2 linked regions of the Drosophila melanogaster genome follow. The protein of the gene in region 2 interacts with the protein of the main gene of each other region in a pairwise test. Each region holds a gene or a part of one and is shown on either strand. Other genes may lie near its edges. The genes, in order: mEFTs and Gdi.

The links.
Region 1: the proteins of Gdi (region 2) and mEFTs interact in a two-hybrid assay, tested with the Drosophila melanogaster proteins (one large-scale study listed by BioGRID).

What each region holds. Positions count from the first base shown.
Region 1 is NT_033779.5:17,487,121-17,503,067, forward strand, and holds mEFTs (mitochondrial translation elongation factor Ts), read right to left. Parts: upstream 13,987-15,947; 5' UTR 13,549-13,986; coding exon 13,372-13,548; intron 13,164-13,371; coding exon 12,915-13,163; intron 12,810-12,914; coding exon 12,279-12,809; 3' UTR 12,148-12,278; downstream 1-12,147. Other genes in the region: qua (quail), read right to left, coding at 20-217, 282-1,280, 1,337-2,261, 2,311-2,513, 2,573-2,782, 4,682-4,711; CG15142 (uncharacterized protein), read right to left, coding at 10,967-11,199, 11,255-11,642; Dhc36C (dynein heavy chain at 36C), read left to right, coding at 14,347-14,879, 14,942-15,166. UniProt on the Drosophila melanogaster protein: Associates with the EF-Tu.GDP complex and induces the exchange of GDP to GTP. It remains bound to the aminoacyl-tRNA.EF-Tu.GTP complex up to the GTP hydrolysis stage on the ribosome.
Region 2 is NT_033779.5:9,483,157-9,500,988, forward strand, and holds Gdi (GDP dissociation inhibitor), read right to left. Parts: upstream 11,721-17,832; 5' UTR 11,460-11,720; coding exon 11,066-11,459; intron 9,948-11,065; coding exon 9,472-9,947; intron 9,390-9,471; coding exon 8,928-9,389; 3' UTR 8,020-8,927; downstream 1-8,019.

The sequences.
Region 1 (15,947 bases), 8.0 Mb from region 2:
TATGTTTAGTTGAACCCACCTCCCTCTTGAGCGGATTAATATCTGGTGGCAGCATATCCATTTCCTGGATGAGCACGGTTAATGGATACTTTTTGTGACCATCAAAGTCCTTCTGTCTGTTGTTCAGGATTAGAGCCGATCCTTCGCTTGCGAAGCAACAATTGCTGGTCACTTTATTTCCCAGATCCTTGCGCATTTTCTCGTAGGAATGGAAGTTCTAAAGTTATACAAAATAAGTTGGTTAACATTTGAAATCTTGGAGCCCTTTTGTTATGGATTACCTTGCCGTAATCGTTTTGCCAGGACTCGAAGAATCCCTTGAAAACATTTGGCTCCTGAAACTGCCTGACCACGGCCAACGCTGTCGCTGATCTGCGTCCGAATGGAGCATTTTGGACATAACTTTGGGCAATCGCTGTGTAGCGTTCCTGGTTTGGGGCCTGCGATCCCAGCCAGACGTAGGTGAGGCTCCCAGTGTCCAGAATATAGGTGCAATCCGAACTGAGATCCTGCTGATCGAATCCGAGAATCTCCTCGTATCTCAGCGAACTCTGTTGCCACCATACCAGAAATAGTTGTACAGGAGGTCTCGGTTTACTCGGAACACTGGTGTTTAGGTAACAATTATTGCTGAGAGTGGGTGAAATGTTACCACCATTGGAGCTACCATTGCACATGCTGCCGGCGCCACTGCTGCTACTGGTGCTGCTGGAACATGAGTTCCCATTTCCGTTGATCACTAGAGTTTGGTTGAAGTACATGGCCACCGATTGCCAGAACTCCTTACTTTCCTTGCCTTCGAGGACCAGAGAGTTTTCCCCCATCAGAGCTCCCACTGCTTTGGCCATCTCGCGGGCATCTCCCGTGCTACTTTGCCCGCACCACACCCAAACATGATTCGTTTTGATCACATAGCAATCTTTGGAGCTGATCGATGACAGATGTGTCTCCTCCACAGCCTTGGCATTGTAGCTAGCATCGCCATAAACTTTCAGCAGAAAGGTGTCCAGCAAGGCATTGGAGTTACCATTGTAAGGCATCTCGGTACGCTGACCGCGCCTGATAATAAGTTTTCCCTCGAAGATCTGAAGGAAGTGCGGTGGTTCATCGAACTCATAGAGCTGTACAAACATTCCAGGCTCCTTGAGCCCATCAAAACTGGCCTTGGCGAACTTGTCCGCCCGGGAAATGGACTCTACAGAGGCCTCCGAACCATTCCACTGGTAGATGATTGTTTTAATGCCAACGGAGGCCAAATCTGCGGGAACAACGGTGGCGCACTGAAGATGAAGTGAATTTATTGGATTGTACACAGAACTTAAGCTTATTATCTTACCTGCACGCTGTACTTGACCACGAAACTGGCATTGGTGGTGAACACAACCGTTTTTGAGATGGGCACCTCTTGCACCTGATCTCCGAAGACACGATAGATTACTCTTTCACCCCTGCCATCATCAACGAGCTGTGTATCTGCAGCCATTTTAGGGCGTTCGCATAGGGAATGGGCATCTAGCTTTCCAAACTTTGTGGACACTGGCTTATGTCCCCTGGTGTTCTCCTGCCAAACATTTAACCAGTTGGCAAAGAGACGCTTAAACTCCACGGGCTCGTGACCCTCGAGGACACGCACCACCAACGTATTATCCGGATATTTCTTCTTTTTAACAAAAGCTCTCCCATTTCCCATGGCAGAAAGGGCATCTGCCTGCGGTGCCTGGCCTCCTACCCACAACCAAATACTCTGGCCGTAGTTGTCCAGTAAATAGACTCCATGGGCATCGCTTAGATCATCTTTTGCTGGCATGCCCACATCCAATTGATCCAGGTGCAGCCTTCCCCGTTGATTGCACTTATAGATGCGGAACTTATTGCTATTGTAGTCGGCGTATTCGCTGACCAACTGACTGGCCTGACAGACCATGCGTTTCTTTAGCGGAAGCATGGTGTTCCACAGCTCCTTGTGCTCCTGGGACATGGCCTGCTCATATCCATCATCGACTATAGTGATTGGCGATCCACTGCAGTGCTTTTGGACCCAGTCGAGGGCACTTCGTCGTTCAATTCCTGAACTGGAGCGCCCTATCCAGACGTAGGTAAGATTATCCGTTTGCAGGACCATTACGTAATCCGAGTTAAAGTGCGACCAATCGATGGTGGCCACCTCAATGGATCGCAACCATTTGCGGGCGTACAATTGAAAAAGTCGTGGCCTCTGGGGCGCGCTTATTAGTGCTCCCGATCGAACACTGAAACGAAATCTGTATTATTTCCCTTCCCAGCGAGAGAGAACAGAGAACTTTAACTCACTCGTAACCCTTCTTGAAATACGAAAGGAATCTCGCACTCTCCAGATTCTGGGTCTCTCGGTAAATAGAGGATATGTTTCCCAGATACGAGTCCAGCTCCTGGATTTTATGAACAACATTGGATCGATTCTGCTCGCTAACATTCTTGCCCAGCCAGTAGTGGATATATCGCTCAAGACTCACATTCGGCTTCTGTTCGCGTGTCTGTAAACATGAGCATTAGTTAAAACCTTGCTGAAACACAAGCCAAACCAACTACTTACGATGGTTTCGTGATTGGCATAATGCCCCGACAAACTTGCTGCATAGATAATGTAGGCGCAGCTATCGTAGAAGGTGCCATAATGTGATCTTTGTACCGCCTCCAGGCGATCCTCGTCTATCTTCCAAATCGCAAAGGTAATCGCATGTTTAGCCACCTTCCGAAATGTGGCATCCACCTTTAAGTCCGGAATGGTGTTGGGACGGATCTCCTTAAATATGTAAATATGTAAATAAGATTTTTAGATCGTTCAATTGAATTTAATGCTATTTAATGGTATATTATGATGTTACGTATTCTATTTAATATGTTATGAAGGGAACACAGTCGTATGATGATTTAATTTACTAATTTAGTCCGAAAATAGAGTTCAAAATTACATGGGAAAAAGACACTCCTTTTCTTGGCTACTTTTCTCGATTTTCCTGAGATTATGCACTTCAACTTAAAGGCACGCAACTCGAACCAATCGAATAAGTCAGGTTTATTAAACGAAATTTCATGTGCAATTACCATTCAGTGCTCCCGTTTTCACTGCAAGTTGGTGACAATGTCACAATCAGGTTGCATGAACAGCACTTGCCACGACATTGAACACCTTTCAAACGATCGCCAATTGTTGCTGTCATGAGACACTTGAGACACAACGCCAAGGATAAAGAAATTGCTCAAAACTAGCAAAAGAAAAATGAAAACCAGAAACCCCAAACCCGAACCCGTCTGCAGAAGTGCTCTGCATCCGATTGGAGGAGGCGCAAGTGATAGTGAAAACCAAAAGTGAACAGGGGCGGGCCGTGAACCACATCCAACCACATCACGTTGGTGGTGCAGCCAGTTTTTGTTGGCCGCCGTCGAACATTAGGTTTTTATTTATTTATGGAACGCAGCAAAGTGGAAAGTGGTTGCATATACGCATACAATAGGCACAGACGCACTGCATCTTCATCTTCATCTTCATTTCAATCGTGATCTCGGCTAGCGGTTTGGGGTCAATAGGCAGGCTGCCTCTTTGGCTAATTAATGTTTTGACATCGGAGTCTGGTGTGCCGCGTTTCATTTGTGATTACATGGTGGCGTGCTCAGTGACCAAAGACGAGTTCATGCTTCGCCTGGCAGCGTTTGCTACTCCCACCAAATGACATTTCATGGAAATCACAATAGTTAATGACTGCCTTTTACTGGGTCTGCTCATAAATAAGCAATGCATAAAATGCGCTGCACACACCACATAACATAAAAGCATTTTAATTGTCGCCTGCGCGAATGGTGAAATAACTCGGATTACTTTAACTGGGCGCTTGGGTTAACCAGGTTTTCCAGCTCTCTGGCTCCATCATGATTGATTGATCTTCGCTGCCGACAGCTAAACTACATTTGTCATGCTCTCTCACAAAAAGTCAATTTTCTCTGTCAAGCGCTTAGCAAATTATAACATTTTTTTTTAAACTTTGTTTTCAGCAGAGACTTTCACAGCCGCCAATTATCAGCATTAATCTAAGCGAAAGCTGATCGCCGAAATGTTCTGAATAGAATGTTAAAAATAATTTCAGATACCCATCTATCTTAAGACAGCTATTGTGTTAAATTTTTACTTTCCTTGCGGTAAGGCTATTAACTTGATGGATGATGCTCAAAAGTTTAATTGCTGGCCATCGATGGTTTTAAACATTTGAAGAATTTGGACCACACTTACTTTTACTGCACAAGGTATGAAAATTTAGAAGTTCATTTGGAAATCGAACCCTTTTTTTTTTACTTAAGGAAGAAGTATTGAGTATTACAAGGAATTATACATTAATTTTAAATTTGCCGCAAGTGATTTGCCCAATTGATTTAATCAAATAAAAGACTGTCAATTTCCTTGCGAAAATCTTTATTAATTTCCCCCCTAATAATGGTGTCAACAAATCTCTTACAAGACCTGGGCAAACACCATCGTCAGGCGCTAAAATTGATTGTAATTGATAAACAAATAATTGCCAGCTCGTAATTAACAGCTGAAACTTGCTAAATAAACTTGTATAGGCTGGCCAAGATACTGGTAAATATAGGAGAGCTGATGGGAGAGATTCGAGACGCGAAATATGCATAATGAAAAGCCTGTAGTTACCGTTTCTTTTGGTGACAGCGATAGCTCCATGTGCGCGGATGTATCTGTATCTGAAAGATACAGCACAGCTGCCTTGAACTAGTTTTGATTTGTCTCCCCCTCCCCACAAAACCGATGGCAATTCCGATGGAAGCCGGCAGCAGCGCAGCTCAAAGTGAAATCCTTGCGAGTTTTCGTTTTGCCAGCGCTTTTGAAAAGCGAATGTCGCTGCCGCACACTCACTTCAAAAACACACACGCAGCAGCGTTTTGAGAGCGATCGGTTCGCTCAAAAAATCACGATACATAAAATTCGAAAAAAATTTTGAATGGGGGTGTTGATATCCCAAAAAACGTAGCCAAAATAGAGGCGAAACTGAAAGTTAAGCCAAATGCTAGCCTGGATTCGATTCAATTCGATTCGTTTTCGTTTTAACAGACACTCGCGATTCGCGTTCTTTTTTTTCCACAGCAGATTTTCCCGAGTCTCTTGCGAAGCGTCTTTGCCAGCAGAAAGCCAACTGCAGACTGGCCGCCTCGAAATGCCGCGCTCCAAGTTTATGGCCAGGCCAGCTTTGGTGTATCGCTGTACAACAGCTTCGAGCCAAATGAGCAAGTGGGAAGCACCACCAGCGACTGACTGTGTGACTCAGAAATGAATGAAAATTATCAGTTAGATTGTCGGTTTTCCTCTCCACAACCTTTCAGTTTCCAACCGAACTGGCTGAGAAAAGCAGAAAGCGCAGCGCACTTTGTTGCGGTTTCTTGGCCGTTTCCTTAACTTGGCCTGGCTCATGCTCTTGGTCTTGGGCCAACGAAACTCTGAGCTCTGAGTTCTGGGCTAAAGGCTAAGGGGAACAGGCTGGCAAACGGGGTCTAAACAAATTCTTACGGGGTGTTTGCTAATTCCTTCTATTAGCTCTCTGCGGATTAACAATTGCTTGTGTGAGCGAGTTTTGCTGGCTCCATCAGCTAATGGCAGGAGTTTGATATCAAAGGGTTTCAGAAATGTGTTGAAAAATCATAAGTGAAATTGCTAGTTCATTCATTTATGTTTGCATTTTTGCATAAAGCTTGAACTTTATTCAAAAATATGTGAACTATAGCATTAAAGTTCGTTAAGGAATATGTAAGTATGCATTAAATGCGTAAAAAACCTTTTTAGAACTAGTAACATTCGATGCTCCATTAATAGAGCATTGATTCTTCTACCAGGTGAACTCCACTTCATCGTTTTGTATCCAGAAACTGACTCCACACTTTCTGCTGCACCGACATTCTCCGCAGGCAATCAAGCACAAACAGTGGAGCTCGGCTGGCGGGGAAGTACTTATGTCCACATCGGTGTTGTACATTCCATCGATTTGCATCTCTCGGGTTTCCTACGGCTTTTGTCAACCGAGCTGACGCGCTCGACTGGCTTGAGTCCTCACTTTTATGATTTATGTTTGGAGATTGGCAGACGGTCATTTGATGGCCATAATTAACACGACTGGAGGGCGATTTTGGGGATCGAGGATGGGGTGTACCAACTGCGCCGGAGAAATGTGGTTAAATTATTTCGGGGGAACAATTTGGCAGCGATTTGTTTAGCAATTCAGAGCCGAGTTTCGACTCAATTAAGTCGAAAATGTCTTGTGTATGACTCGGTAATGAGTCGAAATGGTTTTCCAGTGTGTTCCAAAGCGTGAATGACACTAATGGGTCTGGCCCAGAGAACCGTGTATCTGTGTATCTTTGTAGCTTTGTATCTTCGTATCTGCGTATCCACATATCCACGTATCCGCATCTTGGCAAGACAATGCGATGCCTTTCAAAACCAACCAAAAAACACAACTCTCTTTGCTAGCCATGTTTCATGTTTCCATGATGTTTTTTCCCCAACTCTGGCCAACTCAAAACTCTGACAAGTTCAATCAACCGTTGAGGTTGAGGCGTGAACTGGGGAAATGGCGAGAAACATAACTAAAAAATGAAAGCAATTGTATATGAAAATGTAAATTGTAAATGCAAAGCATTTTTTTTTGTATACAGCTGAAAATGTGCGACTTTTAGCATGATGAAAAATTGCAATTTACGATTTATGATAATTACACACGTCAACCCGCAACAAGACGAACGACCAGGCCAATTGACTTTTCCTTTTAAGCCGAAAAAAAGGCAGCAAACCATTTGATTGTTGTTTGCCTCTCTCATTGTTGCGAGAAACACATTAAGACCATTTTGTGGCCACACGCGACATTTACGTAAAGTCTGGAAAAGCGTCTGAAAAGCGCCACAATAATGCAACATCGACTTGTGGCATTTTCATTTTCCGCAACTGCCAACGGGAAACGGCCAGCCGGCAAAGTACCGCTTTTGAATCTTATTTTTTTTTTATTTTTTCTCTCATTGTTTTCCAATGTTTTCCTCTAGCGGTGATTGTGCCAATGGATCTTTGCTCTTTTCCAGCCTTTTCATTAGCCAATTCTGAAGATGGCCAAGGAATGGCAAGCATGCTGCTGTCAGTGGCCACTCGATCTTCGGGCTAAAAGCAGACCACATTAATTGCCAGCCGCTCCAGATCCAGATTCTGGTCTAGATTCAGGTCCCAGACAGACTCCTCTCAATGGGGGGAATCTCCACTGGCAGTTTGAGGCATGATCGATGTATTGTTAAGTGGAGGTGGGTTGGAAATATTATGCCATATATCACTGACGAAAAACGATTTTTACATGACATTTTAAATATATACCCGACACTTGATAAAGACATAAAAAACGTATAACTTAACATAACTCACACATAACGGGATGGCTAGCAACTGAACAATTAAAAGTTGTATCTATACAAGTTACAGCATTTATTTTCTGTATTTTAATAGATACTTATAGTTAAGCTTAAAGGAAATAACTTATATTAACCATATTTCTTTATAATTTCTTTATAATTACAGATTTCAAACAAGATAAATAGAATATACATATATTTTTAAAATTATTTTTAGGCCAAATTAGCTTACGTTGCGCGATAGACAAGTAAATCAAGATGTTTAGCAAAGAAATACCTAATTAAAGTAAAGCTATGTTAAGGATTTATATTTCCAGGAAAAGAAGATCGTTGCAACAACGCTCTTTTTAATTGGACTTCTTGCCACCTGTAGCCTTTTATGAGGCCAAACACGTCGGCAGATCGGATGGCAAAATCCGAATATCAATAACAATAACAGGTGTTTTGACTGGCTGGCAGTGCTTTTGATTTAGCATTAATAAATGGTTAATTAGCTGCGATAGGCGGGAACAAAGCTGGAGACCACAAATCATAATAGTTTTGAAAGGCGTTCGATCTTTGGATTGAAATCGAATTGGATTTTCCACAGCCGCATTCGAGTTATGCTGCGCTTTTCACGAAGTAGCTACCGCAAATGTTGTTTTCCAGTTTTTTTTGTCGTTTTTGTTTCCCCGCTTTTTGTTTGCCACTCGAAACCGCAATTTGGTATTGTAGGCTTCCCACGCCAAAAAAATAAAATAAAAAAAAAGTTAAGTGTGGGTGAATTAAGCACGAAGAGTTCAAAAATAATTTCTTCATTCAAATCGTAGGAAGTGAAAAGTTGGACAACAATTGCGCTGGAAGCTGAGCATTTTGGGAGTCATAAGCAAATAAATCCAGCCTAACGGTTACTTAACTGTTACTTAACATGCAATTAACCCTCAGTTAAAAACTGAATAATGCAAATATAACCAGATTCGGTTCGGGTTCAGCTGCGCTGAGATAATATATTTAACAAAAAAAAAAAAAAATAACACAAAGATACAGAAACACAAACACAGCAGATGTGCTGCAATAACTTTCTAACTAAGGGGTCATTCGTCTTAATTATCACACGACGACTGGGAAAAGCGTTTGCATGGAAATTCATTAGGCAGGCCCTTAAAAGATAGCCGGGCTATAATCATAATCTGTAGCACTGAACCAACCACTGTCCATCGGCCAAGACCAAGATTCAAAACAAAATTAGTGGGGAAAAAGCCATAAAAAACATAAAGAAAGCTGCGGACGGGTTGGGCCACCAGTTGCGTAGAAATTCTTCCCACCTTTATGGGTTTGTTTGGCTTTATATGTAGATGCTGCTTCTTCGGTTTCGTGCTAATGCGTCGTTGTTCTCCCAAGATCTCGTTTCTGTTCTGACATTTGATCACCGGAAGCTATCTTCAAGCATCGCCAGAAGCCCGCTTAATTACGCATAATCTCTTTTGGGGTCACCACATCTCGGGGTCTCCAGCTGGGCGCCACGAATGAATCCATTTTCGTTGTGCATTTCATTAGTCTTGGTCCGAATCCATTTGAAATTGGTTTACCATTTCCCGTATAACATTTTCTTTGTTTGGAGTGCGACGTTTAGACACGTATTTTGTGTGCCGCTTGTCTTTCGAAGATATGGTAAATTGGTATCCAATATCCATCGTCTCGAATTGAACGGAAAGTGAAGATACACGAAGTGTGCTCTTAATTATCTGTTTGTCCCAGCTCACTTTTATTCTTGGAACAGTAGTGAATCTGCAATTAATTGATTCGAAGATGCAAGGTCGGGAGTGCTGAGCTCTTATCAGAGACATTACCTTGATAGACTTGATAACACCTGTGGCATGTTGATGCAATAATTAATATGAATTTAATGCGTAAGAAGATGTCGAATGATTTAAGGATAAATTCATTTTAGCACGATCAAGTTATCAATTTGGCTTAAAGTTCACTTCCTTATCCTCGTGCACCCTTTGAGTTACCACTGTACTTCAAGTTAGCACTAAATATCCTTTGTATGTACATATGTATGTAGATTTGATTACCTAACTTTAATCGATTTCAGCTTCAGCTGCATATGCATCTCGCCAGCGCAGATTTCTGCCGCAAAGCGCTTAATTAATTATTTCGCGCCATAAAATGTGGCAACACCTATTTAATTAATTTGCACTCACCTGCTTGATGAAATTAAACGGCGGCATTTTTGTGGTCCAATTTGCGGCTGCGCTACAATGCAAATTAGAGTATTCGCTTGTTTCTTTTTTGTGTAGAAATGGAATGGGGCAGGTGCAATTGTTGTTGCAACTCCAAAAGCAAACAATCTAATTAACTTTTTCGCACTTCGCGGACTATTTGTTGTGTTTATGGCTGTCACCTTTTTGGCATTCGCTTTGTTTGGCCGCCTTTTTTTGCAATTCGCTTTCGCGCGCTTCTTCGCACAGTTTACCGTTAGTGGGAAAAAGAGAGCGCCACACAAGTGATAACGCGTCTTTTGGCACTGCAACTTTATTTGCGCACTTTCCAAACAAATTAACCCGAATTAACGTCAAGCGGAAGTCAAACAAAAGGATATAGTCGTGCGATCCGCTCGCTGATCGGTGGCATTAACGTCTAACTTAACCCGTGAAAAGTCGACTGGCGACTGAACGTGAAAAACTTCAATTGAAGCGCTCCGATCGCAGTTACATACATGCATACATACGTACTTAAGTGTAACATACAGACATACACATGTACATGTACTTGCTATGTATGTATGCTTCTCTGCCGACGTCGGTGAATGTGACCCTTTCGAGTTCCACTTTGACCATGGCCAACATTTGAAAGGGTATGCTCGACCATTGGGTCGGCTTAATTATAAATATGTACGTAGGTAACAATTATAAGTGTTTGTACACCAACGGAATGAGAAAGAGTTGGATAATTACAGTTGCCAGGCATTAGTTGCAAATTCCAGATGTGGAAAGTGCATGTCTGCAAAATAATAAATACTGACTAACAGGTTTGAATTGGTAGGAATTTCAATCATCAACGGAAATGTTATACAAATTTTAACTTACATGTGTGCATAACACATTCTTTAAAAACAATAAGAATACTTACATAGTAAATATACATACGTGCAAAGGGATGAACATAGGAACATAGATATTTAAAAAAGTGATGTACGAATGTGCATCAGATCATTGGTAAGTACCCCATTTCGTATGAGTTCAATAATTGATTAAACCAATTACAGGATATCAACAGTTGGTTAGCATTCTCCACATCCATGTGGACAAGTTTCGCGCTTCGCTGCTCGCTTGTGTCAGAATGCCGGCTACTACTATCGCCGTCACATGGCCATAGTATTTGGCTATTCCAAAACCATCGCCCCACCATCATAGTCGTACCCATAAACAGCGAGGCTTCCCAGAACTCCCCGATGGCTTTTGTTATTCTAGTCTTTTATTGTCGTGGCACTCGCAATCCCGGAGAGGTGTCGTTAACAATGCAGAGATGTACATACGTACATATGCACATGACGTCACACTTGGCCTGGGGCACCCTGGAAGTCAGTCTGATCGGTCTCCTCCTCTGCCTGCTGCAGGAGCTGAAGACACTGGCGCACCTTCAGCCTGGCATGGGCTATATCGCGCTGCATGCGCTCCTTGGGTGCCCTTAAACCCGCCATCGTGGTCGGCACATTGGTGCGCATTTCCCCCAGGACATTGAGTAGATCGGAGTACTTGTCCACTATGTTGGCGTTCTCATCGAGACCTGCAAAGTGTGGGGTCTTAACCACTACTATTGTTACATTTATCAATTTGCTTACCTATAGATGTGCCAAACAGATCGGAGTCGATGCCAAAACCACCTCCTCCTCCGTTTGCCGCCGACATTATTTGCAACTGGGCCTGCATGTACTTGGTGTACTCCAGTTTGGCCATCACCTCCTTGTACTCGTTGGCGTAGGCAAGTGCGGCGCTGTTTGTCTGCTGCCTGTTGCGCAGCATCATCGCTGCATTCGCAGTGGAGCTACTGCCAGCAGAAGCGGCTCCACTCACCCTCGTTATCTCCACTTGTGGCACATGCGTCTTGATTGCTAGCTCCTGGTTGGTGTCCATTGCTGGCTCCTCGTCCGCCTTGGGGCGCGATGGCACGGCCGTGACGGTTATGTCGCTGTACCTGGAGCGGAAGGATTCAATGTCCAGGTAGTCCATTTTGGCGATTGAATCTCTAACGACGATCGATGGTTGATAATGAAAGGGATTTATTTGACAGGCCTACTTAGTAGCTAATATTTCAGTGCTGCAAATTTCTTAGGGCTGGAAAACCATTTCTTCTATTTTGATTTTCCTCCCTGGCCAAATCTACTCGTACTCCCATTTCCTTAACATGAGCCCCAAGCAAGTGGCATACCCAACCCTCACTTGGTTTTTGCCTTTGCCCCCAAAGCTAAAAACCTTTCTTTTTGCTCTTTCTTTTGGGCTATCGCATGACCAAGTGGGTAATTACGGGAAGCAGAACAAAAAAACACGTTTGTAAACAGTTCATTCTGCTGGCGTTGTCCATTCGCCCGTTCTTCCCGCGGGTTCCACTGCTTCAGCGACCGGAAGCCGCTCAAGCGTGCTTCCCGTTCTGCGCAGGCGCATTCTCCTTGGTCACCCCAATTTTTTGCCATGACTCATGGGGTATGGCGTATTCAAATAAGAGAGGTGGAGATCTGATCGTAATGGTTGTTTTACTTGTTTTACATGCAAATTTTGACCAGAACATTGTCCAGAATTTCGGTTTTAACAATCTTCAGCTGTTGTGCTAATAACAATTTAGTGTTCTAGACTCTGCTTAATGGCTAGTTAATTGCTGCTCTGGTGCTGCGAGCGAATGATCGCCTCCAGGCTGCGTTCCGTGTGCTCTCCGCACTCGAAGCGATGGTAGTCGACGATCTCGCAGTTGTGCTCCTGCAAAGCCTCGCCCACCGTCTTGTCCGCATCGAGCAGATACTCCTGGTGAATCAGGCACGTCTCATCGTCCTTGTTCTCCGCCGGCTTGTCCTTGTCATATTCGCCGATCTTTGTCGGCTTCATGCCCACGATTTGCTGGCAAATGCTCTTGTGAAACTCAAAGTCCAGCAGGGGGTGCGTGGATCGGTAGGCTACGATCGCTCCGTACTTGCCCACCTGGGTGATGCCTTCCGTGGTGCCCACATTGGTGGGTGCGGGATGGGCGTAGCCCACCAGCTTCAGGTCGTTGTTAGCCTTAAAGCACAATGCGCGCCGGATGGTGGCATTCTCCCCGATGGCGCCGATCAGCAGAGCCAGGTGGTCGCCCAACGTGCGTCCCTCCTCCGTGCGCAAGTTTCTGAGGGCGTCCGCATCAAAGCCAAGCTGAAAGGATATGCACATTCTTTAATTAGCAATTTCTTTAGGAATGGATGCAAAACCGGTTCTGATCCAAATATTGTGTACATTTCCCATAAAAATCTCGCTCACCTTCCACAGATCTCCATCGAAGTCCGTCAAGTCCGTGTATTGCAGACACATGCAGGCGACGTGGTCAACGAACCGCTTGAAGGTATCGTTCCTGGCTACGAAATCCGTCTCGCAATTCAGCTCGACCATGGCGCCCCGGTTTCCGCGGATGAGCACTCCAATCAGACCATGTGCAGTGGCTCGATCTGCGACCTTGGTGGCCTTCGACCAGCCGAGGGTCTGGGCCTGCTCGTGCAGCCACTTTTCAGCCTGCAAGAGCGAGATGATGGCAAGGTGAGTTGATTAGCACAGATGTGTTTTGATCACAAAGGAGTTTGCATGCGGTGCAGCTATATATATTACATAATAATATAGAAAAATCAGCAATTTTTCAAAATGTAGAGATCCCCATTTCGTGCTCTTTGTAATGGAAAGCTCACTGCACCGCTTGCAATAAAACTATTAGCCAACTACCCACCAATCCGACGTCGTTGTTGTGCTTCTCCAGCGCCTTCTTGCAATTGGCGAAGGTGTATCCGGTTTTCTTCCTCAGCGCCGCCAGGGCACTCTTCTCCAGGCCACCGGATCCGCCAGAGCCGGCATAAAGCTGCCGCGTGGAGTGAAGTGCGCGTGTGAAAAACCTTTGTAGCAGCATTTTTCCAAAAAATTTCCGAAATTTACTGGGAGGCCAAAATGATTTCTAGCGTGATTTGTGTGCGAATTGAATTGTTGCTCTTTGCCTGCTGTCAAGGGCAACTCGCCGGCTTGTTTGTTTTTCCGTTTTCCGACCTGTCGCTATGTAGTAGTTGCCCGGAAAATCAATTCATTCTAAACAACGGAAAAGCCTGTGTGAGATTTGCATTTGTTTTCAACTCCTTCGTATGTTCGCTTCGGTTCAAGAAAAATTAATCGCGTTGCGGCGCGAATAAATCCAAAGCGAGTGTGGTGCCTCGATAGGTGAACGACTGGTAAGCGTCGATAGTTTAGTTTTCGGCTTTTCTGTGTGCTTAATTCGAGCAATTAATTTTGAAACTGAAAATTTTGACAATTTTCCGTGTTGCACAATTCGGCTGTTAGGGATGGCAAAAAAGCCGGTAGGGCGCGTGTGCGGAGAACAGCTGTTGCGAAGCGACTATCGATAGTGGCGACGCTATCGTTGGCCAAATGACGTTTAGTGGATGTTACAACCTATTACCGGTTACAACCGATTCGAAATGGATTGAAACCAAATATTTAAAACTTAAACCTAATAAATAGTTTTTTTTTTAATTCTGGCGCACGTAGTTATTTTCTTAATTAATATTTTAGTGTTTTTTTTTACTTTAAATAGTACTTTGATTAATAACTCGGCGGGATACAATCGTTTTATGTTTCAAAAACAATTATTGAAAACAATTTTCATTTTCTGTAGTCACATTTTGATTCGAACGTTGAACCGATTTCAGGCTTCAACATGCAGGGCAGACAGAATCCGAATCGGGAGTTCAGCATCCCCAGCTTCACGTCCATATGCGGCGGTCGCCGCCTATGCGAGAAGTCGAAGATGCTGTACACGCGACCCAAGCCGGATGTGCTGCAGAGCATCCTGCAGTCAAAGGCCAATCCGGAGTACAAGTCGCGTCGCCTGTGGTACGAACTGAACATGCCGGAATGCGCCAGCTCCCTGCTGGACGGCAAGATGAAATCCGACCTGCCGGACAACATACTCTGCGCGAAGAAACAGCAGAAGAAACGCCAGAAGAAGCGTGAGAGCGGCGTGGCCAAGGCCAACTACATGACCATGCGACTGGAGCGGGAGCACTTCCGCCGCAAGCTGGTGGAGCTCATCCTGCACATGGACGACGACCAGGATCCCGAGCTGGCCGCCCAGTGCGCCGTACCCTTTCCCGACCAGGAGGAGCGCGAGATTCTGCGATATTACTATTACATCAAGCATGGCATTGACACCATTCACGTGTCGCCGTTGAGCAAGAAGATCCTCAAGAGGTGCGTTCCACTGAACACTTTCAAATGTATCTGCTTTTTTGCTAACTGCTTTCCGTCTGCAGGATAACCGATCTTGTGCCACCACTGCTCTACAAGTGGCAGACGGCACTCAATGAAAACATAGCCGAAGTCCGGGCGGACTACGTGTTCGCCATGAAGAAGGCCGTTGTGGACTTCGTCCTGCGGCACACGGTCCTCGATCGCCTAACCAAGGAGGGCGTGGGTGGCAAATACGACACCGCCGAGCGGCGGGAGGTGCAATCCATGACGAACTTTTGGCGCTATCGGTGAGTCTCCATGATGCTAATGTCAAATTCGATAAAAGTCTTCGATTTCTATTCGATAAATGGCAAATGAAACTTTTGATCCGTTAAAAGTGTATAATCCAGGCAGAATATAGAAACATTTTTCACGTTTTTCGTTAGCTTTTTCTATGCAAAAAAAAAAAAGAAAAAAATACAGCAATGCAGATGAAATTGCAACTTCTCTTAAGCCAAATGGATTTTGAGAGGCAAAATCAGAGTAGCGTAATTGATATTGAAATGCATGCGTTGTTTGGTTCGACAAAGTTGAAAAACCAATGCAAGCGAAGGGCGGGAATTTAAAGTTAGAAACTTCCGAGCGTGTGGGAAATTCAAATTTTTTAATTAAAATAAATTACACCCGCACCAAGTGCCACGTAAATTGTGCGCATTGTAAAAAGGGAGGCAGGCGGCAGGCAGGCAGGCAAAAAAAAAAAAAAATGGGTAAAAGAAAAAGTTGCTATAATTGAATGCGAGTGTGTTGTGTGTAACTTGCCTGTAACCGCCAGCAACGCATTTGGCGCAAAAAAAGCGTGCAATTGACATGCAATTACGCCCAACCAAACTGGATCACGCCCCCACATATGGACTTTTATATTCACGGATGCCTTGGCTTTATTGCGGATTAAAAAAACGAAATGAATTGCCCTTTGAGTCGACCGCGCGCGAAATCTTATGAAAATAACTGACAAAGTTGTCTTGCCAGGGGGGGTGGGGGGTGAAAGGCGTTAAGAAAATAAGGAAAATAACGAAAATAACGAAAGTC
Region 2 (17,832 bases):
AAAAGTTTTTTTGCAGAATTAAACCAACACGGTTAAAACTCAAGAGATATGATACGTGTGAGTCTAACAACAATATATTTCTTAAAATATATAAATAGCTTTATCCATTTAACGGATTTAAGGATCATCTCTAATATCTCTAATCTCAAATATTCTCTAAATCTCTAAAATCTCGAATATTTCCAACTAAATATGTTATTGAAAGCTGTTTTCCCATGTTACTTAGTACGACAACTACTTTGCCTATTTGGAGGATATATTCCAAGGATCACCACTGCCTTTCCGCCAGTGTAGCCAAAATGGAGCAGCATCAGGGCAAGGATGCGAATCGCAACAACGATGGAATCAGCTAATGTGGCATCTCGACAGGAAGCGGCAAATGCAGCCAAACAGCCAACAGGCTCAACTAATGGACCACCAAGGAAAATGGCTACCTATGGGCAAAAAGGTGTCGCATGTGGTTGGGTAAACAATACCAATTTGTAAGCAAAAGCCGATAATTGCAAGACCATTCAATTTGGCTTACAGACCAACAATCGGTAGAGAGAGAGAGAGAGAGAGATCAAAGATGGGTTAGTTACACTAAGTAAACTGATTTGAAAAGAAGTCCAGTTGTGGTCAAAGTCAATTAAAGCACTGTTTTTAAAGCACACAAGCATGCTCGCCAATTTTATTTAACTTTCTCCAGATGCCTTGCATTGAATCTTTTGGCACATTAGGCATTAAGTTTCCTGCCAAAATGGCAACGAAAAAGATTATAAATTGTTTTGGCACTTGAAATAGAGGTTGTCATACAAAATATTCTATGTGGCTGTTATGTAAAGTGCTTTGTGGTGTTTATTTAAATCGATGATTTTGTTTTAAAATTAAATTTTTGCGTTTAATATCTTTATTAAAGCCAAAACATGCAAGGGGTATCTGTATTTATTTTGGCTCTAAGCCAGCATTTTCTTCAATTTTCTAACATATTAGAGCATATTCCGTACGCTACCCTTTTTTTCGATTACCCCGCACTTTTGAAGTGGCATACAGGTGAATTTCTGGCTGGAAAGCCCGCACACACGAGCACTCCGAAACACAGACAAAATAAATGCAAGAAATTTTGCCGTTGAACTCAAGTAGCTATCATACCCACATATATACATATATAATTTCTTTCTTTTTTTTTTTTAGGTTGGCAGGTAAATATGGCTGTCGCTGCACAGATAACGCTAACACCGCTGAACTTTCACATTCATGCCCCTCGAAGCCGCCCGCTTTTCCGCAGGGCCTCGCTTTTCTTTTCGTTTCTCTGGCTTGCCTTTTCCCTTTTCCGCTGCGTAACCACATTTATGCATTTGCTATTTTTGCAAAAGACATGTAGACTAGCAAACAGACACACACACACCCGCAAACTAACACACACACACACGAAGCCAAATATTATTGAAAACCAAAATTTCAAGGTAAACACAGCTGCAGTTTGGCAACAGGAAAGAGGAATGCCCGGGGCGATTGAAGAGCTCTTACTAAACAATGTATACCTGCGTTGGGTGGAAAAAAAAGTGATCAACTTAAATTTGATTCAAATCAAGATTTGCATTTTGTGGCTTAAAAAAATATGCCATAGCTTGTGATTAAAAAATAAAAAAATATTGATCAAATCAATCAATCGAAATTAATTTGTGTTGCATCGAAAATGGCTTCCCTAACATGATGATTGATGCTTCAGTAGAAAATCAAATCACATTAGTTTCTCTTCCATTTCGAATGAAGTAAGTTTTGTACAAAGTAACCTGAAAGGCCATGGTTGGCTAAGACAACCTACTTGGCATCGATCGTTTTTCCGGTCATTTTTGTGGCTTATCGTTATAATGGCATCGGCACGGCACGGCAATTAAGCGGCCATTGCATCTTGTGCCGCTTGCAGGATAATTTACAGAGTGTCGCAGAGTCCGTCTGTCGTCGTCGATATAACTCAGGCCAGGGGAGCAACAATTGCCAGGAGTCGACTTCCTAAGCCAGGGCGAAATTATTGCATACTTATGGGGGCTGGCAAGGGGGGGTGCGATGCGTGCAAGCCCTTTTAAAATGCATTCGCAGCGCAAATGCCAGGACAACCGTATAAAAACTGGGTGAAAAGACGATTCTCTGTGTGGGTAAATGAATTTATATGGCACTTAATATGGCAAAGACGAGTCCACACGGCGTTGTGCTGTTGGTTTTGGTGACAGTTGTAAACAAGCCAGGTAACATGAATAAGAACAAACACATTGAGCGTTGGGTAAAGTAAGATAAATACTTCATAAAGTGTCAGTTGCTGCGCGAATCGGCTGAATGAAGATACATAGTAAGCGGAATTGGAATTTCTTGGGAAATTTGCTTCTAGCTTAAACTATGTTTTAAGCTAAAAATCAGCAAAATTAAAGTCCTTGCCCCAAAATCATTCTACTAGATTATATGCACTAGTTGCCGTTGTATTTTAAAAAGACGGATTACAACACTATCACCGTGGAAGGACACTTCGTGAGACATCGGCAGTGAGTCGTCGTGAATCAAATGCCGAATCCAAGACTTAAAAGACTTACGAAGAATCACTTCGTGCAGCGGTTAGAAGAAATTGAAGTTAATTAAATAAGTTAAGCAAATGCGTTCAAGGACGATAACTACTTCAATGAACAATACTTCCGAAAATGCAAATGTATACGTTCTTATAAACTTTTGAAATGCCAAGGCTATACATTTATTTTTCTTTTGAATTCAAACCACCTTTCTCATAGCAACGCCCTTAGTTTGGCTCGTAGGCATTGTTGGTCATATGAAAAGTTGGCCAAGACTTTTTATTGTCTAAGGCTACCTTTGCGAAACGTCTTTGGAAGCTGTGAATGGAAAATTGCTTCGTCAAGTGAATACATTTAATTGCTAACAAATGGCAAAAGGGCGTAAAGGCTCCATGCTTGGTCTCCGTTTACATGTGGAAAGAAGCGCACTCAATAATTTATTCATAAATAGTATAAGCTATGATTATCCGGTAAGAAATTAACTTTGGGCTCTAATTAAAACCGAATGAGATAATACGATATATTTATAGAAAATTACAAAGTTGTAAGAACAAATAATCAGCCAATGTAAAAATGTTTGCTGTTATCCTTACTGTTCGTAACATATGTTACGCTTTAACACTAAATTCTCTTTTGCTGTTAGCTGGCGCTTAACAGAGCGGGGATAAAGCTCTTTGATTTCTTACTGCTTCTACTTGAAGGGGTAAATTTCCCGTTATTACAGCTCCATTATTTAACATTTTCGTATTGGCCACTGCAAAAGGTTTCAAAAGATCGGCTTACTCTCCATTAATCATAAGTGATTTATATTAAGTTATACGCCAAGCTCATTTAATAAACTGTCACTTAATCAAAAACCATATATGGTCAGGGATGGTTCAACGAAAGAGCTTAAGAAATCATTATCAATTTAAACCACAATCTAAATTTTGTCTTCTTTTGTCTTCTTGACAAACTGCATAGATATTTATGCCACCCATCAGTATTTTTCATGTTAAAATAACAGAACGAATCAATGGCGAATAAAAGGATGTTAAAGAAACAACAGATTTAACTCTCTTGTTTCTCTGTTAAGCGTTAACATAATATTAACTGGCGAAAACGTGGTAAGCTTACATGGTCATATATTTATTACATTCAACTTCATGTGTCTGTGCAAAAAATCATAGGGATTGGTATAAAATTGGCAAAAAAAGAATTTAAACAAAAACCGTCTCTAAATATACAGAACTTTGCCATTAGCTTGTATCTTTTCAGCCTTTTAAACAATTTTTTAAAACACACGACTTTCTCTACCGCTTTTAAAAGAGTATTTTGTTTGTACAACTATTGTCAATATAAACGTACACACAAGACATTTAATTGAACAGTTACTTAATATTTTATTACGTAATGAACCACAATTACTTACAAGCATTTCCCCGAGTTCATTGAAAACAAAGTAAACTTTTGCCACGCCGCTCTTTTTAACTAATTGCGAAAACCGAACTTTTCTCAAAATGCGAGCAACGATGGGAAGGGAGAAAGTGTTGTTGTTGTTGTTTAGTTTTCTCATCCATGAATTATTAAGAAAAAACATTTAATAATGCACTTCAATCTCTGTGAGCGTAGTTTGCCGAAAGAGTTTCCCGCCCCCCAACCCCCCTCTCAGTTTTAGCCCCTTGCCTTCCACCAGACCATTTGGTTACCGGCTTCATGCCAGCAATTTAATTAATCTGCACAAAATATGCAACACAGCAAAAGTTTGCCAGCCAACAAACGCAGACAGACACATAAACACACATAAAGCCAGACGTTCACACATGTGAAGAAATGGCCACAGTTATAATGCTTGACACATAAAAAGTGTGGGCGTGTGTTAATGTTTTTGTCTGTGCACAGAGAGAAATTTATATAAGCTATTAACTGAGATTATTGCACATGGTTTGGAATGAAAAACTAAAGCAAGCATAAATCGTGTCACATAAATCTTATACGTTTTCAATTGACTCTTAAATTATTATTTTTTTTATTTGAATTCGAGTGAATTTTAATGCAAGTGCCCCGCTTTAACATAGCTAAATTGCAAACTTGGCAAATGCAAATTTTTTCGGTGTATGTTCGAGTGTTTTGTAGTGCCTAAAAGCAGGCAGCAGCGAAATGGCAAAGGGCAGAAGGCATCTTCAGAGGAGCAACACGAGAAGCTGCAGCAGTGGCAATAAGATTACTTAATTGATTTAAATTTGCTTGTCTAGTAAGGAGATAGTTGAGTGGTGGGGGTGGTGGTGGGGTTTTTGGGGTTGCGGATGATGTTGCACAGTGTCGCAAGCGATAATGAAGTTGTTGACAAGCTCGTGGGCCAAAGGCAAGAAAATGCAAGGCAACAGCAGCCGTGACAATGGGAATAGGAAATGCAAGTAATTGAAAAGCAGCCAAAAGGAAAACTCCACTGAAAGTAAAAGTAAAGTGGGCAACGTGTGCAAATATTTCATTTTCTTAATTATAATACACATATATGGTATGTAAGTAAGCGGAAGAAATTAAAATCCTTTCATTTAATTACTTTAAAAATTTCGTAAAAATGTGCAAAACCATTAACTTTGAGATATGTTCATTTAATGCAATTAACTTGCAATCAAATCTTTTTTGCCCAGTGTACTCACTCCCGCTCTTTGCTGCTGTTGTCTGAAGCTTTTCAGCGCAGAATGTCGTTGCGGATAATGATGAGACGGCTGACGATGATGGCAGCGAAGGAGACAACATGTCGGCTGCATTATATTCATAACGTGTATAATTAATCACATCACGCTGTAAGGAAAGCCCAAGAATTATATTCAATTTGACCTAATGCTCATGTATCTGCGTGTGCGAGATTTATCCCGGCCATGTCCACTGCGTCAATTTAGACCAATGCACATGGCCAAAGTCCGTAGTCCGTAGTCCGTAGTCCGTAGTCCGTAGTCCGTAGTCCATAGTCCTTAAGCCGCCAAATCATGGCTCCAACAGCGTCAACTGACCCCCAAAGGCATCTTTTTGTTGCTTTTGTTTTCTGGGCGTGTGTGTGCGTGTGTGTTTTGTATCTGTGTGTGCCCCTTTGCGGTTGGCTGTTATTACGAGCCCAACGCGGTGCCACTTTTGCCACCCATTAAGATCCCATGCACAGAAAATAAATATTTGTTTTAAATTATAGATCAATTTTATAGATAATATTACTATCTATCAGTTTGTACACTTATAAAAAGTTTGTTAACTCGGAGCATAACAAGAGACATTATTATTATTATAACTTAATTAAAAAAGTAGCTAATGTTATTATTACATGCCTGATATGTAAGCAATCACGATTGCTTGAATAACTTCGATTTCTCGCAGTGTAAGAGCTGGGCTCGTTAGCCTGACCATGGCCAACAGGAGCCGTAACAACAAGGACGCGAATATAGATGCAGACTTGGACAGGGGCTGGCAGCTTAGTCATGCCTGCCAGTGCTGCGTCGACATCATAGCTTTATCTTCACCCAAATGCCCTGCTGCAGCCCCTTCCCCCAGCCACGCCCATTATACAGCCAATCCAGCACAACTCCACCCCCCAACCCGCTGTTGTATGTGACTTGCATGCGGCGCTGAGCGCCAAAGTTTTGACTTCAATTTGCCCAGTTACAAATTTTGGTCTTCTCCGGCGGTTTTTCTACGCTTTTTTCATGTTGTTTTCCTTTTTTTTCGTTGCTTCGACCCATCTTGCAAATACACAAAAAAAAAAACAAAAAAAAGAGCGAACGTAAACCACAGTCAAGACGGAAGCAGGAGCAGCAAAAATGTGGTGAAAGACTTGACCAGCATCGGGACTACGACGTGTTTTGGCCACATCAGCCGCATGCCATCATCATCATCATCATCATCATCACCAGAGACAACAGCCACAATAGATGGGGTTGGATGGTGAAAGTAGTTAGGGCCCATTCCTCGGAGCGATGACAAATCAGCCGCAACTAGAGAGTTGCAGATGGCAAATGTGACAGGAATTCGTAGGAGATTTTCCAATATTTCAGGTCAAATGATATAATGCATAAGTCCATCGGACTTGGCTTCAAAAACTTTCCAGCTTAGAATTATTTATGAGTGCAGTTCTTGTTAGGTTTGTAAATGCTAAGCTGGGATTTTATAGAATTTACTTTAATTTCTATACACAAAATCAATTGCGAATGTGTAATTGTAAAAAAGTAAATCAGTTTGAATAGTTGATGCCTAGACGTAAGGCTTACTTCTAGAATAGCTGAGCACTTGCGACCGAGTTCAATGTTCAACGACTCTGGGCAAGAGCGAAATAATGCGAAACGTCTTTGCACTTTTGCCTTTTCTGGGAAACGGAAATTGGAAAAATACTGGCGGCATTTTGTTGGACAGGTCGTCGTCGGCGGGCTGGGAAAATAAAAGCCGGGGCAAAGTGAAGTGGAGTGCGGACAAAAAAAAAACACAAACTGTCAGTGACAGCATTAAAACTAACAGGAATGGAGAGCGGCATTCTCAGCATTTTGCACATTCCTGGGGCCATCGACAGGATGCAGGACGAAGAACGAGGACCCCAAAGTGAGCGAACTAGCCTTCGACTCGTGTGGCATGCCACATGCAATTCAATAAGAATTTCCCACTTACCACGGCCATAAGGGGTGATTTGTGCGGAGTGAGTAGGGTGAGGGGAAGGGGGCAAGTATTTCAAATGCATCCCAAACACTTGCTGCGGAATTCGTAATTGTGTCACATAAAGAGGCAACGAGGAGTCCTGGTCATAACTATAACCCTATGGCTGCGTGATTCAAATCCGGCGAAAAGCTAACAAACTCTGAAACGCCCGGACTGTCGTCGTCACTTTTGGATGGCGAGTCTGGAAAAGATTTTTATTTACAACCGAGTCTCTATACTAAGAGGTCCCCCTTCCTAACAAGACACCACACAGATACCTCCTTGATCCCACCCAGAATTAGGCCAGATCCCTTCCATTTCCTTTACAGACCAGACCATCCTAAGTCACCTCAAAGAATACGTCTAAATCCTTTCCATATTCTTCCAGGATCTGTCAAACAGCAGATTTTCATTTCTCTGTGTGTATATAGTAGCCGCCTTGGCACACACTTATGGTGCGCTTCGTCACTACGTGGACTGCAGTGCATACTGATGTAGTTTAAATCTGCCGCCATTTGGCTGTTACAAAAGCTGAAGACGTCAAAACTCAGTGCCACTTTGGCTGGAACCAGAACTAAAAATCTCAAATTAAATGAGTCTGTGTGAAAGGTGAAAAGCTCCAGGACATATAAAAAGCTGGTAGCTATAAAACTCAAGTGACATTTTGAACGGAACCGGAAACTGAAAACGTTCAATAAAATGAGTCGGTGGAAAAACTCCAGGACAAGATTCCTTAATCCGAAAAGAAACCAGACTTTTGGGGAAAGGAAAGCAAACATAACATCCCTCAATATAAAAATAGTAAATAAAAAAAAAAATGTTTATATTTTTTTAATTTTTATTAAAAATGTAAATTCTGAAAATGCGGAATACCATAGTTCTCTATACCATTGACAAACTTCTTAGGTTCTGTTCTCTTTATATGTCGTTTGCCGCGCTTCGATCAATTGCATTATTTTTGGGTATATGCTGCGATGAACTTTTTCGACTGTTTTACATTTTCAATACCATCGATTTCTTTCTGGGGATTACAATTACAATTATAATGCTGCACTATGCATGTGTAAGAGTTTGTGTCGTGTTTATAGGTATGTGTTATGCTTTCGTTTGGAGCCTTGGCAGCCACACAAATTGGGTGGATCACAAAAAAAAAAAAGAAAGAAAAACCAAGCAGAAGGGCAATATACATAGATAATATATATATACGATGTCATATTTTATATATATATATATACTTTATTATATACTCGTACAACTAAAGTCCAAGCGTAATCGTCTGACTGACTGGCCTATCGGCGAAATGGGAGAGTGTTTGTCGAGTCTAGCGCTTTTGCTCGAGTCACAAGCTGAATCTGTGGAATTTGATTTAGTTGCCTAACACTCACTTAGTTATACATTTATATAGACGTACATATATACGCGACTGCATGTTGTATAATTTATGTTATATTGGTATATATATATATATATTTTCTAGGCATATCCAATATTGCGCGAAGCAAGCAATTCGTTTCACATCTAAAACTTCATCTCTCGATGGAAAGCATTTTCGTAATACAATTTCTGGATTTTCGGTTTTCTTTAGTTTTTTTGGGCTTTTATTTTGGGTTTTCTTATCTTGGGTATTTTTTTTTTTAAGGTTTGGCCACGACGCTGAGACGATCTACGATGTTTGTGGCTGATGTTGAGCTGTCCAAATGCACCATAACCAGATGAGGCCTTCATTCCCGTTTACTGCTCCTCGTCACCCAACTCGTGCTTGATCTTGGAGAAGTCGAACGTCTCGCCAGTGCCCCGCTTGAATATGTTCAACACATCCAGGCAAGTAGTCTCAAAGTGCGTGGTCGCATCGTAAGACTCCGAAATAAAGATTTGAGACTCGGATCCATCATCGATCGGCTCCAAATAGTCCGAAATGGTTACAAACTTTTGTGCGATCGGCTCCAGCAAGTCCAAGCCAGGCTTGATCTCCACCTCCGGGTTCTCGGTCTCAACGGTGGTCGAGACCATGCCCACGAACCAACCCTTGGCGGCCACCTGATGAGTGGAGCTCACAAGCGACACATAGATGTCCGACTTGCGGCCGACCTGCTTTTGTGGAATGATAATCTGCGTGGAGAGACCATCCTTGGTGCTGGCCACCGGATGGTCCAGAATGCAAATGCAGCGAATCACCTTGCCACGCTTGCGCACCTGTCACATAAAAGAAATGTAATACATGGTTATTTCCAAAAGACTAATAGGCTAGTTTACACAAATCTTTTGTGAATCTCACCTTCTCGGGCACGTAGCTGGGATCGCAGTAGACCTGCTTGCACTTGGCGACCTCTTCGCCGGAGCGCACTCCCACCACCTTGCCGCCCTCGCCGAGGACAATCTCGTCGATGGGCTTGTCAAGCATGTAGGTGCCGCCGTAGATGGCCGACAGACGTGCGAATCCCTGGGGCAGCTCACCCAGGCCGTACATGGGATAAAGGTAGGGCGACTTGCCGTAACGCGCCAGCGAATCGGAGTAGAGCTTAATCCGCCGGATGGTGTTCACGGCCGGCTCGTTCAGATACTCATCGTCGCGGAAAAGGGCCAGGGCGTGGCCGGTGAAGTCCTGCGTGTTCTTGTCCAGTCCGAACTTGTCGTACAGACCCTGCATGTTGGCCTTGGTGGGGTCAAAGTCCTTCCAGGTCTTGGGGTCATCTTCTCGGAAATCCTGCACGTAGATGAGGAAGTTCCGGAAGCGACGCTTCTCGAACATACCTGCAAGTAAAGTCACATTTATATATGTATATCCATAATGCCATATTGGTCAGTTTGGGGTTCAGGATCTGCATATAAAGGGAGTGCACGAGCCCGAGGGTTTCAAGTTTCCCGTTTCCATTTCATTTGCATGCCACAAACACTCACATACAGACACTCACTGGGACAACAGCACGCAACTACAGTGGGAAACCTTCAATTTAGGGGGCGGAGGACACACCACCAACAATCAGAAACCACTTGGCCACCCCATGACGTCATTCCGAGCATATGTGTAATGCGGACACAGTGAAGCATGGACAAGGTGTTTAACTTTCAATTAGCAAATTGAGACATCCAATAGGTATTGTTACAAACGGAAGTAAAATCTACCTAATAGTCACATTTTCATTGAAAATTTCTATTTTATATGCAAATTATTGATAATTAAAGACAAAAATTAAAAAATGTAGTACATCTAAAGTCATGAAATGTTTTCGTTTATAGGCAATCTCCACTGTAAAGTGAAGGGGGTTCAATGCGCCTGGCCAAAAACCTGGTTGCAAAAACTAAGTAAAAATTGAAATGGAAAAATTCAAGAGCCAATCATAAATAAATAGAGCGTGTTTTAGCTAATTGCATTGCTGCCACGAAGAAGAGGGAAAAACTTAAATTTCAAACAAAGCGAAATTCAGGTGTAAAATGGAGGCGACCAATTAGCGGCAGGTGTATGAATCAGCGCAGAGCGATTAAAATTTCGACTCCAATCGGAATAGGGCGATAATAGTTGGGCCAACAAACATGGTGTGGAAATGGATATGTGTGGGGGAAACTTTGGTAGAAATTCTTTGGCGAGCGAAGAAAACAACTGTTTTTCGGCACACACATACGTGTCACATTAAAAAAAAGGGAATAACAACAACAAGAGCTTTGCCAGCGAGTGAAAAGGCAGACAAAGAAGAGAAGAGAAAGAGAGTGGTGCGGGCGAGAGAGGGGAAGCAGATAACAGTCGAGTACGAAAATACATACATACAACCACGCACACACACAAGCACAGCTGGTAATTTGCACAATTTTTCGTGGGGGGCTCACCGCCAAGCAAAAAGGCAACGGGACTTAAAAGAGCATTATTAACGAACCCATGAGATCGGATGCCAGGGCCTCCTTTTGGTCCACCGGCACCTTGGCTATCTTGCCGCCCTTGTAAACGTAGCTGCCCTCGATGGACTTGAACTCCAGATAGCGGGTGACGCCCGTGTGGATCAGCAGCTTGACCAGCTGGCCATTGGCCATCAGGAACTTGGGGATCAGGTCCACGTTCCAGTCGCGGCCACGCCCAAATCGTTCGCCGGGCGGCTCCAGTCCGTAGCGCTGGAAGAGCTCCTCCAGCGGCGTTATCGAGGCGGACTCGCCGCCGTAGTACTTGTTTCGATCAATATGCAAAACCTTCTTGCCGGACACGGACAGCATCCCGCTGAGGATGCACTCCTTGAGGCCCGTTCCTAGCACAATCGCATCGTATTCCTCATTCATATTGGATCGCACTTATTTATATATTGCAATCACAGTAATTTATATATTTTTTTTATCCGGTTTTCGCCCTTTTCACTTGCTGCGACGTTCGATTTGGTGGACTTTTCTCTGCGCTCAATAATTTTTCTCTACTCGTTCGCCTTTCGCTCGTCCGCTTTGCGCTGCCCGTTTGCCGTCACGCCGTTTGCTGGTCACGTTACGTTACGTTTTCGTACATGCCCAGGGCTGCATGAGAAAGAGTTGCTATCGGCTGCTAATTGTACATGGAAATAAGGAAATAACCAAACAAGCATATAAGATATTTAATTTGCACACAGAGCATTAATGTACGAAAGATTTAGAGACGTGTGTGCAAGATTTTTGAATTGATTATGATTTTGCAAAAGTTTATTTCCTAGATTATTGACATTTCAGGGCTGCATGTCGCGCGCGCAAATTTATAGTTGCAATTTAAATTTGTTAAATGCATGTGTTGGTCTTGCATAAAGCAAGACATTATAAAATAACAAAACGGAGGATTCACAGATCGATCATATAAAATATAAAAAGATATTCAGCAATTATTGTAAACAGTATTTGAACGCTGTTTACCTATCGAGTTTTAAGTTACTGGAGATCTCTATTTATATCATATCTCACGCATTCGTTCATTACTTTTTATTTTAAAGAGAATACAATATAAGCAATTAGACTTTTCAATGTATGTAATAATTTCAAGAAAACCAACATTTGCGTACATTTATTATCGGAGACACGATAGACATTTATTCCGAAACTAGGGGCATTCTTCTTACAGCTGTTAGCACAGTTAGCGAGTCTGGCCACATCATCCCGAAGCCTCTGCAAAGTTTTACTGGTGATTTTGGTTGAAACGACGAGCCGATTCGGACGCGATTTTTGTATCGGGTTTATTTAGGTTGTTACGTTCTCTTCGCGTCGTTTCTTGTTTCTTTGTTTCGTCGGATTTTCGCGCGTGCAGCGAGCAAGGAAAACTAATCATACATAATCATACATTTTCGTGGAGCAAAAACACACGGCAATGTAAATGTTTGATTATATTTTCATTTAAAACGGAGCCAAACAACTGTGTACTTGTGTGAGTGTGTGTGCGTGCGGTGGCTGCGTGCTTGTGTGGAAAAGTGAAAATGCTATTTGGGCCATAATTGTATTGAAATTCTTAGCAACAACAACAAACCAAACCTCGAGTTCGTGGCAAAAAATAAGTTCGAAAAAAAAGACGAAAACCCCAACAAAAGGAAGTGAAAAAGTGAGCGGCTCAGGGATTTTTTATGCTGTGCTCCAAGTGAAATAAAGTCTTTGGGAAATAATTATTTATTGTAATTCCTTCGCTGAGGAAACATACAAAATAGAAAACAAAAAGATAATCTCCTGTCCCGCTCACACTTTCCGCCTGACCTCGGTTATCATATGTTACCTCCCTGTTGTTCTTGTTGTTGCTTTGAATGTGCTGCAACATTTTTGTATTGTTGCCATGCTGAAAAGTTGTTTTCATCCCCGTGTAAAAATAGTTTCAAACAAAAAATATAAAACAAAACCCCCACGAAGGCAAGGATAAAATAACCGCAGGCAATTGAATTGATCGAAAAACAAGCATAAATCCACGTCTACGATTTTATTGGGTAAGTTTTTCGTTTAAATCAAGTTGCCATATTAAAAATTGCACAGGCATAAAGTCGGAGGGAAAAAACATAATAAAGCACAGACGGCGGCAATCTACAGAAAAAACAAGTTGGTTGCCAAGAACCAGTTAGGCGTTGCAGACCAACTGCCCCGCCCACCGCCCTCGGCCCCCATCCTCCCAAAATATACGACGGGTTTTTTACCTGCTCGCATCCATCTCGCTCACTCATTCACACAGCCTCCGATCGTTCTGGCTTCTCCATCCTCTTTCCCCTTCTATCTCTCTCTCTCTTTGTCTTACCGGCATTTGATAAAAGGCAAATAGATTCAAACAGTCGCGGTTTTAACTTTGCTTTTTGTTTTTCTGCGGCTTTGGATTCGTTTGCACTGTAATGCAGTAAAGATGCTTGGCCTCACTGCGCACAGTGGGACTAGAAAATGCAAGTGAAATGCGAGGTCGGTGTGAAACCGACCCCCACATTGTAAAAATCTATTTTGAGCTAAAAATTAGTTTTCCTTGGCACTCATGGTTAAAAATATAATACATCTAAAATCATATATTAAGGGTATATTTTAGAGACATAACATCTTTCTTAAGACGGTAAAATTGAATTCGAATTTAACATCACGTTTCACAACTTTTCTAAATTTCAAAATGGTGTCTATTAAACATAGAACGTAGAATCAATAAGAATAAATATCTGCCGCCATTATAAAATAAATACTGAGTTTTATACATAGATGTTTTGCATGCTGATTTAAACTGAAATGTTGAGACTAAATTGGAAACATGGTTGCCGATCAGCAATTCGGTGGATGCTAGCAGCTGTTAAAAATTTCCGTTGCTTACCTGGCGGGAAAAAATAATTTCTCTTACCTGTGACATATTTAAAATTCCACCAAGCCGTTCTTTTTATTGCTCTGCATTTTATTCGTTGTAAGGGGCAAAGAGGAGCGGTTACTCTAATTTCGTGTTGTAAATTTAATTTGTAAGACCTTTTTTTGTTTTATTTTTACCCACTGTACGGTGTCTTTGGGTATTTCTTCATCAACCTCCCTTCCCTTTCGTCTTCTATTCAATTGAGTTCAACGGTAGTTGACGTTACTCGTTTGCTAATTGCAGTTGAGAGACGGAGAGAGAAAGACAGAGAGCAAACAACAACTTTTAACTGTTTGTTGATGCGTTGTTTGCTCGTTTGTCTCTGCTTCATGCAATCTATTAGTCGCTCTCCCTCGCACGCCCCCACTCTTCCTCCTTCCCCCCAAACAATGACGCTCCATCGCTCTCGTTTGCTCCAGGTACCGTTAAGACAGAGCTTGAGGCAATTGACTCCGATTCGCAGTCCACAATCCGCAATTCGCGATGCAGTCGAAGCGAAATAGCAAAAAGACGAATCAGAGACAGAAACAAAGCGAAACAGCGGAAGCAGTCGACTTATCTCCTGTTTTTACAGTTTAACGCCGCCGATTATGGTTGGCTTAGTGCTCATTCGATGTTTATAGCCGAAATATACCCACTGTTTGCCATGTGTCTCATACAGTTGTCACCTAACGCCATTAAAATAGCACAAAATTAATACGAAATTGTATTTAGTCTTGATTTTCTCATAAGTAAAGTTGTTAATCTGAAATCGCATAACGTACTAATGCTTATGCATTGTTTAAATGCTTTTCTAACCCAAATTGATCCCGACCTTATAATCCAATACCGACGATCAGCTAATTAATGATTGTTTAGCCTAAATACTAGTCACACAACATGTGTGCACGCAATCATCAAAGTTATTAAGCCAACCACTTAGCAGTTGTTTGAGATTGTTTTATGAGATTTAAATCTTATTACATTTGATTTAGAAATATGTACTTATGTTCTTATTCAATCCATTTTGAAATTTAAGGGTAAATCATAGAGTTTCAGTCGAAAACTTCCATTTAGAGGAATGACACATAAAAGAACGTAATAGTTGATTGCCTCGACTACGGGATACCCTATTACTGGTCTTCTGATATTTTTATCTTGCGCTTTGAATTAAATTGAAATAATAAACACTTGAAAAAGAATTTGGAATATAACATGTAACATACTCTTCAACAAATATGTTAACCTTACGGTCAATGATTAAAGGGTATGGACCTATTACAAGAAGTTATCATTCCTGCAGATCGAATACGTGTAATTCAGAATTGTTCGTATAAACGCGTGAGTTTTGATAAACCAATTCCGGCGAAAATGCCACATGTATCTGGGTGCACGAAGTACGTGGCTTGGCCACATCGCGTGGCTTTTTAGCTACGTTACCTTATCACTACGTCAGCTGTCAGAGTACTATATACTACATACATATGTACACATATATGAACTATATTCACATACTGAACATTCAAGTGGCGTAGTCACACGTTTGGTTTATTTGTAGCAATCGCTGGCCCTCCAAGCAAACTTTTTTTTCTATTTATTCCTGGCCTAACTTAATTGATTACACATTGCGTTCTCATGGTTCGACTGCGAATTGAGTTTTCGGCTATGGAATGGATAATAAAATATGCGATTGGGTATAGTCGATTCGCATGTATAGGGATCGTAAAACTCCCTGCTGTCATTATGATTTGTGCCTTATCGGTTATCACTTAATTTATAAGGTGTTTCTTATCTTTCGCAAGTTTCTTTGTTGCTTTGTTTGTGACAAGTAAAGCGAGTCTCCACTTCCCTTTGAAAAACCTAAGTGTACAATTTTACAAATAAGTTGCCGTACTTTGTTATGTAAACATATAATAGGTTTGTTTATTGCCAAACACCAGACGTTGACAAATTCTAAAAATATTATAAAGGGAAATCACATGTGTTTACCAAACAAGATCAAAGAACAAGTAATGAGAACATCTGTGTGTATCTCTATAAAACTGTGCATTTATGCTGACCACAAACAATGGATCTCCTTCAACATCAATATGATCTCATTGTTGGCTAAGTTAATGCTGTTTTCCTTATCGCATAGTGTGCAATATATCTTGGATTTTTATAATGCAATCTCCGATTTTCGCCAATCAGAAGTACATATTATATGCACCTATTGATTTATTACTTTAAAGAATAATAATTTTTTTTAGAAGTACTCTTGTTTTCGTCTCAAATCATTGGCTGTTTTTACTGTCTTGCACTTTCTGGTTCATAGAAAACGAAGTACTTTTGCTTGTTTTCTGTTATACCCAACTTCTCTATATACCCAACTTTTTGCCATTAACTTTAATGACTTGCGATTGAGCAGGTGTAAAAGGGGGCAACAGGCAAGGGCCTATTGTTTTATTACTTACTTAGTTCGTATCGAAAGCCAATCGATCTCTGCTGGCACCGTGGTAAATTAGGAGGGAATGCGAATAATTGAATACATTAGTATGTTAATTTGGACTCGGGCGCTTTGCTTAGGTCAAAGCTTCAATCAGAACGAATATTAAGTGTAGGTGCACAGTTGTTGTCTAGTTAGCGATGAGCGCGTGAGTTCTGAGACGCGTGAATTCGATAGATTATAGTTAAGATAGACCAAGACCAACACTAGAAAACATCAAGATTTACTTTACAACATGACAAAGTAACTTAAATTCTAAAAGATGTAACACTATGAACGGTTGCTACTAATGAATAATCACATGGAGATATTATTTTATTTCTTAAGTTTTTAGGCTCTTAAATATATTTTTGCTTAGAGTATATACATATTTTTTTTAATACCCAACTGCGATTCGACGTCACGACCTCTGCTCCATCTGAAAAAATTAACCCTGTCAGTCAACTGGTGACGATGTAATTGAATAGATAGCAATAGCAAGCTGTGGAGGCGCCCCCGTCAACAGTTTCTAATTAGTTGCGAAACTTGTTGCCCCTTTGTGGAGATGGGTGTTTCGTTTTTGCTAGCCTGAAATTTGCCCAGTTGGCGCGAATATTCTCAGAGTGTTGGAAGTTTCCCATGTCAAATGCCGAAGCATCGTATATTTTCAACTCCATTGTTCAGTCTCACAAAGATGCCTTAATTAGGCGGCCAACAGAATTAGCATACGAACGATTTTATAGAGAGTATATGTAGCTGAAGATTTGTGTGCAATTTGTCGCGCTAGTTGACTTGATAACATTTATATACCACATGCCAGTTGAAATTTACAAAATAGTTTATTGAGATCCGAAGCACTTTTAAATTTAAGTCAGAAATTTAAACAAACGATTGCGCTGCGCAGTTACTATAATTTGTATATTTGTATATTTTAATGTGTGTTCTTATCGGTCGAAATAATTATTCATCACTCGGATTGCTATATCAATTATACGCCCCGTTGTACGAACATTAATATCTTAACTGGAAAACTGGCACAACAGCTGCCAACGAAGTGCTTTTGAACCCGATAAATAATTAATTTAGCTTTTAACTTAATGACGAGTACGAGCAATAAATATGCAAGTAGAGCAAACTACACAAAAAATGACATTCATAAAAAATTTTAAACAAATAATAGTTCAATTTCAATGTTTTTTTTTCGTGCCTCAAGTTCTGCAATGCATTAATCATTCTGAAAAAAAATTCATTTTTGAAATATCTGCGCATTGTATTTGTAAACAATTGGTACGAATTCACCTTTTCGCCAAATGGTTGAGTTCAAGTTTTGATAGATTTGTATAATTGTACAACGTGAAACAATTGGTAAACAATTTCATATTGCGCATTGAGTTTTCAATAATGGTTTA